Linked DNA regions of Alligator mississippiensis. The protein of the gene in region 2 interacts with the protein of the main gene of each other region in a pairwise test. Links are inferred from orthologs where the notes say so. Each region holds a gene or a part of one and is shown on either strand. Other genes may lie near its edges.

The links.
Region 1: the proteins of CBX5 (region 2) and INCENP interact in binary tests that used the Homo sapiens proteins (3 or more experiments, as listed by UniProt). The link is inferred for Alligator mississippiensis from reciprocal best matches to the Homo sapiens genes CBX5 and INCENP.

The regions. Positions count from the first base shown.
Region 1 is NC_081825.1:179,238,676-179,242,417, reverse strand, and holds the start of INCENP (inner centromere protein), read right to left. Parts: upstream 2,654-3,742; 5' UTR 2,562-2,653; coding exon 2,434-2,561; intron 812-2,433; coding exon 695-811; intron 1-694. Other genes in the region: inner centromere protein, read left to right, coding at 3,033-3,093, 3,628-3,742. UniProt on the Homo sapiens protein: Component of the chromosomal passenger complex (CPC), a complex that acts as a key regulator of mitosis.
Region 2 is NC_081838.1:7,979,834-7,983,575, forward strand, and holds the start of CBX5 (chromobox protein homolog 5), read left to right. Parts: upstream 1-1,334; 5' UTR 1,335-1,350; coding exon 1,351-1,440; intron 1,441-3,742. Other genes in the region: HNRNPA1 (heterogeneous nuclear ribonucleoprotein A1), read right to left, coding at 285-401, 1,047-1,079. UniProt on the Homo sapiens protein: Component of heterochromatin that recognizes and binds histone H3 tails methylated at 'Lys-9' (H3K9me), leading to epigenetic repression. In contrast, it is excluded from chromatin when 'Tyr-41' of histone H3 is phosphorylated (H3Y41ph).

The DNA of each region.
Region 1 (3,742 bases), on a different chromosome or scaffold from region 2:
CTGCAGCATTCCACAGACAAGCAGTTTCCACAGCTGCTTCTGTGCTATCCTGTGCTCCCAGCAGTTTGTTGTAGTGCACGCGCAAGTGAATGGGAAGCCGTGGAGCTGCAGGGCTGCACTTTTTGGTCTGGTCTGTTCCCCAGCATCCCCCACTCCTCTCATACTCCCAAAGCAGGTGGGAGAGGCTATGGGTGCATGTGGCTCTGGCTGTTTGTATTCAAGCTCCTGGAGAAGCAGCACTTGCCCTCTCAGATACAGAGCAGGCACTGGGAGGGGGCAAATGATGGAAAAAACAGGGCACAGAGGGTAAGGGGCTGCCTCCTCACACTCACCTGGCATGAGCTAGAATCTAACTCAGTGGTTTGCAGCCAGGGTGCCTTGAGGCTAAAAAGCTTGAGAACCACTAGCCTACACACACATGGAGAGAGACAAAGAGATTCTAAAAGAGCAGCAGTAGCTGCTTAATTCCTTCACCTGTCACCTAAAATAACATTTCTTCTATGCAGCATGTGCTTAAACAGCAAAATGTATAGATCATATTAAAGCCATCCTCCCTCTTAGAGGGATTTCTTCACAAATTTTCTACTTAAGGCCTGAAAAGCAACAACTTTTTAAATGCAAAAACTGGGATAAGATCCCAATCAAAAATAGTTTTAACATCTTCAAATATAAGGTACTCCAGGGACTTTCCTACCTCTTCCTGGTTGGATCTTCATTCTCATCCTGAACAAGAGAAATACGCTTCTTCCTGCGACGATTTTTCTGTGATGGAGTTTTTGGCATCAACTCTGGCTCATCATTACAGTCACTGCTTAACAGATGAAACAGGAAAAGTAGTAACATTACCTGGGCACTTTACTTGCTTGTTATGCCAGCCTGTCTCTGAAAGGCAGCTCTCCAACTAATGAGAAGATAAACGCAATGTCATGGGAGACCACAAGGCTCACTTCTGCTAGGGCTGCAGAGATGGTAAGGAAACTGAGGTGCCAGTAGTCCCACACAAAGCATGTGCATGATGGTCTTATTAAGTTGGGACCTTAAATTTCAGAGGATAAACAAAAACCTCCTGTACTACATCAGGACTAGTCAGAATACAGTTCTCAAGTCACCAAGAAGCTTTAAACTTCTCACCTAGAGAGCTTTAGAGAAAATGTCTTTTTTTCCTGCAAGCACCGAGTCCTGCGGTTATGAATAATAAATATACATGCTAGCTATGTCTATCAGTTGTGGTAAAATAACGATAGGTTTTCTCTTTTGAAATGAAGGGCTTTTGACATCCTTGAGCTGTGTGCACCCTGTGCTTAAAGCCAGCTGTTCACCTGGCACCAGAAAGCATGACTGGATCAGAGGGTCAAATCTCAGCCTGACTGACCTACCCTTGGCATATCTGTTATCAACCCCTGCCCCTCGCTTCCACCTGTTATTGCAAGTTGCCCCAGGAACTGTGATGAAAGCCCCAACTAGCAACAGGCCAGGGGATAATACCTTGCTCTTTGCCTTTGAGGCATTAATGGCTGACTTACTCCGTGCTCAGTAGACACATGTATGATTAGTACTGTTATTATAGGAAATACCTGCACTTTCCCAGTGACTTCCTCCCAGGGATGTCACTGTACTTGGCAAGCATTTGCAAATGTATCCTCAGACCACTGAAAAAGTGAACAGTAATGCGCTGGGGTGGGGGTTGCTGCACTTTGTATTCTTTTGTTGCTTCAAGATATTGCTCCTGAGCCTTTTTTCCAGGACCACAAGCGAGTGAGCAAGCCAGGTGTGGCAGGGTCAAGCTCTTCAGGGCAGATCCTGCCTTGAGCAACCCTGGCTAATGCACAAGAGGATCAGAGGCGCAGCCCCACACGGAAACAGTTAGCACCCCCTTGTTGCTGGGGGAGTCCTTGGGGCAGCTGAAGCCTTAGCAGGGACAGAAGAACAGGGCAGGCGTGATAACAACAAGCACTGGGCTGGGGAAGGGGGCACAGCAGAGGGCACGGGCCCTTCAACTTGCTGATGCAGCCGAGGGGCCCCACCAAGCCCCACAACCTCCTGCTCACCCCTCCTAGGCAGAAAGGAGGGGCCGGAAAGACCCTGGGGCACTGCCGCCTTCCTGCCCTTGCCCAATTCCCGTATCTGTGGCCCAGCTGGAACCATCCCTTCACGTACCCTACCCAGGACCCCTCACGCGTGTCCCGAGAAACCAGCTCTTCCGTCCTCAGCAGCCTCCCGCTGCCCTAGGGGGCTCGGCCCACGCTCCCCCTGCAGAAAGGAGGCAGAGGACCCCGAGGGCCGGAAAGGTAGCGACCGCAGCCGCCCCAACCAGGGCCTCCCGCCGGCCAGGGCTGGAGAAGACCCAGGTAGGGGTTGGACATGCGTGGCCGCCCCCCTCGCTGCCCCCACGGCCGAGCCAGACGACGGCTGGGAGGAGGGGCCGCCCCGCACCTGCCGAACATGCGGGCCGCCTCATCGCGGATCTCGGCCAGCCACACCAGGTCCGTCTCGTCCACCTCGCGCAGGAACTCGGCCAACCGCCGACTGCAGGTCTGCACGAGGTGCGCCGTGCCCGCCATGGCCGCGCCGCCTGCAATGGCCCGAGCCACCAACGGTCAGAACACACCCGCCGCGGCCTCGAACGCGGCCCCCCCACTTCCAGCCCCGCCGGCGCCCGCCTAAATTTTTTGAATCGAGCTCATCCCCCCGCCGCGCTCATTGGGCCACCACGCGCTTACGCCACAAAGGAAAGGGGCGGGGAGAGAGGAAAAGGAAGGAAAAAAGCAGTGCCGAGCTACACAACAGGCCCTGCTAGCCAGCGGACTCTTGTACCCTGGAGGACTGAGTCTGGGAGGAGCTTCCGCAGGGCAGGTAGGAGGAGAAGGAGGAGGGACCAAACCAAGGCCAGGAGAGAGCTGATAGGCGGGGCAGCTAGACAGAGCCGCGCCGCCTCCGTAGCCTGTAGCTAAACGGGCCGCGGTTGATGGACAAGAGCGCTAGCCAAGGGCGGGCCGCTCCTTTACAGCGCTCCCTGATTGGCGCAAGGTCGGATGACCTCGGGGAGGGAAGCCAGCCATTGGCTCTTGCTTTTTGCGCTGGGCATCGCTGTGGGTATGGCAGGCGGTTCCGGTTAGGAGGGTGCCTGTCTAGCTGACGCCTCTATGGTCGTCACGGGCACTTCACCAAGGGTGGGGCGTGGGAGGGAGCTTCTGTGTGGCGGGGGCGAGGCCTGGCTGCCTCTGCGTGTTCTCTGGCCGGGGGCGTCTCTCACCTGCGGCGGGGGTGGGACAGGACGCCTGGGTCCTCTGGCTGCCCTGTCTCCCTGCAGGGCTGGGGAAGCCCAGGGAGGAGGGGCTCCTGGGTTCCAGCACCCCTGGGTGTGGGAAGGAGCTGGCAGCGGGGCTCCTGCTGCTGGAGCAGAGCGATGGGTGCTGATGGGGGAGCTAGACTGGTTGGGTCTGATGCCTGCTCCTTCCCTATGGGACGCCTTCCCTGTGCCTTTCATCCCCTCTCTAGCTTGGGGATAGCCTTCTGTCTCCCAAAGGGATGGTGGGGGCGTAGCTGTCTGCCCCAGGGTTCGATGGTACCCTACGAAAGGCGCCTTGCCTAGCGATCGGCTCTTTCCTCCTCGCCCGCCCGTTGTAGGCAGAGCCATGGTGGAGATGGTGGGTCCCACCAACCTGCTGGACTTCTGCAGCCAGAAGCTGTCGGAGTTCCTGGGCAATGCCGAGCACAAGCATTTGGCGTGGCTGCGGGAAAT
Region 2 (3,742 bases):
GACAGGATGCTGTTTGCGCTTGTTTAATCACATCAACGGCAGTGCATCTTTAACACCACAAAGGCAGCTTAAGGAAACCCATCCAACAACCCCAAAGCACCAAGGCTTTCAATACTCCATCGGACCAAGGCTAGGACAAGAAGACCCCGACCAATTTTCAGTCTCCTCGAGTACAAGTGCCACACGAGCTTATCTACCCCCCACCTTTCTCCCACGCAGGAAGAATATATAGCAGCTCATTAAATGGGTTTAACTCAGCTGAGGGGCCAGCCCGGGACACCCACCACGCAGTCGGTGAGCGTGCCCCATTGCTCAAAGTGGCTGCGAAGGCTCTCGTCTGTCGTCTCAAAGCTCAGACCGCCGATGAAGAGCTTGCGCAGCTGCTCGGGCTCCTTGGGAGACTAGAGAGGAATAGCAGGGAGTGAGCGGGAAACGAGACCTCGCAGGACTGGGGGCTAAGCTCCCGCCCGCAGGTACCCCAAACCCGCCCCCCCGCCCCTGCCGAGCCACGCGGGAGCCCCGGGAGAAAGGAAGCTCCGGCGCATGCGCAGTCGCCACGGCGCGCCGAGCACAAAGGCGCCCGCCCGCATGGCCCCGCGCGCCGCGCATGCGTCGTCCGCCCCGCCGGCCACGCAAGCCCACCCCCACTTGCGCAAGCGCAAAAACCGCTCGGCGCCCTCCGCCACGCAGGCGCAAACCCCAACGGGCGGGAGGACCCCGGCGGACGAGGAGGCCCCGACGCACCTCGGCCCTGGACATGGCGGCGGCAGCAGCGGCGATGCGGGCTCCTTGAGGTGCCGGCTCCGAAAGGGGCCGAGCAACGCCGGCGCCACCGCCTCACCCCGCCGGCGAGTTCCCATTGGGCGGCAGCCGCTGCGCCCCGCCCCCCTCACCGCCTCCTATTGGCGGAATCCCAGAGGCTGCAGGCTCTCATTGGTGGAAGAGCACCCGCGCCCTCCCCCATTGGCCAGGACAGAAACGATCCCGCCCCCGATCATGGCGACCATGCGCAGAGCCCCGCCCCTTCCCCCACCCCCCGCGCTCACCTTCTTTCCCGCTCGCGGCTCCATCCGCTCCATCGCGGGTCGCCCTGCTCCGCGCCGCCGCCGCTACTACCTCACGCCGGGGTCCGGGCACAGGTGGGAGCGGGGAGGCGAGGCCGCGCGGACTCCACCAGGGCGAGAAGCCGCGCCGCGGTTCAGACGCGCTCTAAGAAGAGGCCGGGGGCGGGCTCGCGCACGCGCAGCAGCGCGCGGGGCTCGCCCTACTGCGCAGGCGTAGCGGTGGGGGGGGCGGCACCTAGGAGGGAGGGGTCTGGGCGCTCATGCGCGGTGCGAGGCTCGCCGGCGCATGCGCGCTCGCGGGCTGTTTTGGCGGGCGGCGGGCGTTGCGCAGGAGCGGAGTGGAGAGGCAGGGGTGCCGGATCCGCTGCATCCCGAGGTACCCGGGCGGCGGCGCGGTCCGGGGGCTCGTTGTATGCAGTGAACGGGGGAGTGCGGGCGGGCTTGACAGACACGCGCGTGGGCCAATGGCGCGGCGCGTTGGCTCCGGGGGGGCGGGGCGGAGGCGCCGTTGCCTGAGGAGAGCGAGAGCAAGGCGCGGGGCCGTGAGGGACGGGCAGCTCCGCCAATGGGGCGGCGGCTTCGGCACCGGGGAGGGGCGGGGCCCCGCCGGCGGACGGGCGACGGCGGCGCCCAATGGCCGTGCCGCTTTTCTCCGCGCGCGCCTGGAACGCGGCCGGATTGGCGGGAGCGCCAGCGGCGCCGGCCAATCGGCGGCCGAGGTGGGGGGGGCTAAGCGCCCGCCCCGCTGCCCGTTACCGAGTTACCCCCCCCACCTTAGAATGGATCCAGGCGTTCGATCCTCATTGTGACGTCGGGGGGGTGGGGGTTACCGCACCGACCACGTGGGTGCGGGGGAGGGGGGGCTGGGACCCTGTTTGGACCCGCATACCCACGAGGGACCCCCCCCCCCCCACCATGGCCCTAGGTCCCCGCTTTAATGCGTCCGAGGAGCGGGGGTTGGCTTCCGGTTTGGGGCTGGGGCTGAGTGTCGTTCTCGTGCCAATCTCCAGGGCTGGTCCTCGCGGCTGGATCCCCACCCCTTTCGGGAGAGCGGAGCAAACACCTCGCTTGTATGCCGCTAACGGGGGTGGGGGCTGCTCTTCGTAGGCCAGGGGGAACTTTGGCCCACCTCCCTCCCCCCCCTCCCCAGCCGGTTTTGCAGTGGGGAGTAAGGGTTGGGCACGTGGGGCGATGCCTCACGAGGGCAGCGGGTGGGAACCCCGCCGCGTGTCGCAGCTGGAAATCATGTGCGCGAAGGCTTTGGGCGGCTTTGGGGGTCCTTGGCACCACGGCTGTAGCACGGATGGGAAAGGCTCCGATTGGGAGACCTTTTCCTTGTATTGAGGCAGCGGGGGGGGCGGCGCTGGGGAGGAAGGGAGGTCCTGCTTGGCTTGCACAATAGCATGGGGGCCGTCCACGGTGGAAGCTTTTCTGGCCTTCAAGCCAGAGCGAACACCAGTTGCTTCCCCGCCTCCCTCACACGAGGCCTCGGAGCATGGGCGCTGCTGGTGGAAGCTGCGGCCATCTCGTACCCTGGCTGCAGCGCGCGGCCCCTTGCAGCAGATCAGTGCGCTTTGCAAATGGAGCCAGGGAGGTGAGACCACAGCTCCTCGGCCAACAACGAGCCATGAGCTTTCCTTCCAGCTGGACCAGACGGCCAGGTACTGACGAGGGGCCTGGGCTTAGCCTTGGAGGCCTCCTCTGGTCCCAGAGCACGGCGAGGCGAGATTGCTGCGTTTTTTTAACGCTTCCCACCCCCAGGGGATGTCTAGTCTGCAAATGTGGCTGTGGCTGCGGCCTCTTACCCAGCTGCCCCCTACAACGCTCCTGTGTATGTGACTTCTCTTTGTAATGGTTCCAGTGGAAAGAAGCACTTGGGTCCCAGATGCGTTGCAGTGGCTAACAAGGGGAGCCTTGTGTTTAAACAGAGCGACTTGGAGAGCCGAGAAGGGGAACGGGCTCCGTGCAGGAGCAGACTGGGTTTCTGCCCCCCGGAGGCCATAGCAGCGGAGTCCCCCTGCCTGCGCCTCAGCCTCGTGCTTCTCTAGCAAGCCCCGGCCTGAGCTTTAACAATGGGCGGCGGTAACTTCAGCCCGACCGGCAGCGGGGTTTGCCTTTAGGCTCCGCTGGGATGAACGGGGAGCTCCTGCTGCTGAGCCATTGTCTGCCTGGCTAGACTGCTGCAGCAGGGCTCGGCTAGCCTTGCAGTATCTTAGTAACCAGACGGGCTGGCAACTGCAGCTGTGTCAGACTGGGAGGGGCTGGTGCTGCGTGGAGACCCCGGCAGGCTCCTGCTGCCTCTTTCTCCCAAATTAACCAGGGCTGGTGTGTGCGTGCATCTGCTGTGGTCCTGGGTAGTTGGGGTGGCATCAATGGGAGGTGATGGATCAGTTGAGGCGAAACCAAAGGGCCTCAGCTAGGTGAACTCTTGCATTCCTGGGAGGCTCCCTGCACTGTCCTGCCTGTGCGTTGGTCTGTGGCCTGGCCCAGAGGGGTTTCGAGCCGTGGCTGGGGTTTTCCATGCCATCGGAGAACACATGGGACAAAACAGATGAGTCTTGGGAAAGATGCCAGAGGCTAAATCCTGCCCTGTGCAGAAGACCCAGCGCTCTGGGCTTCAGCCATGTCTGCTGCCACGGAGCAGGATTGACCCCCACGTTTTGGTGGCCTCTCCAAGC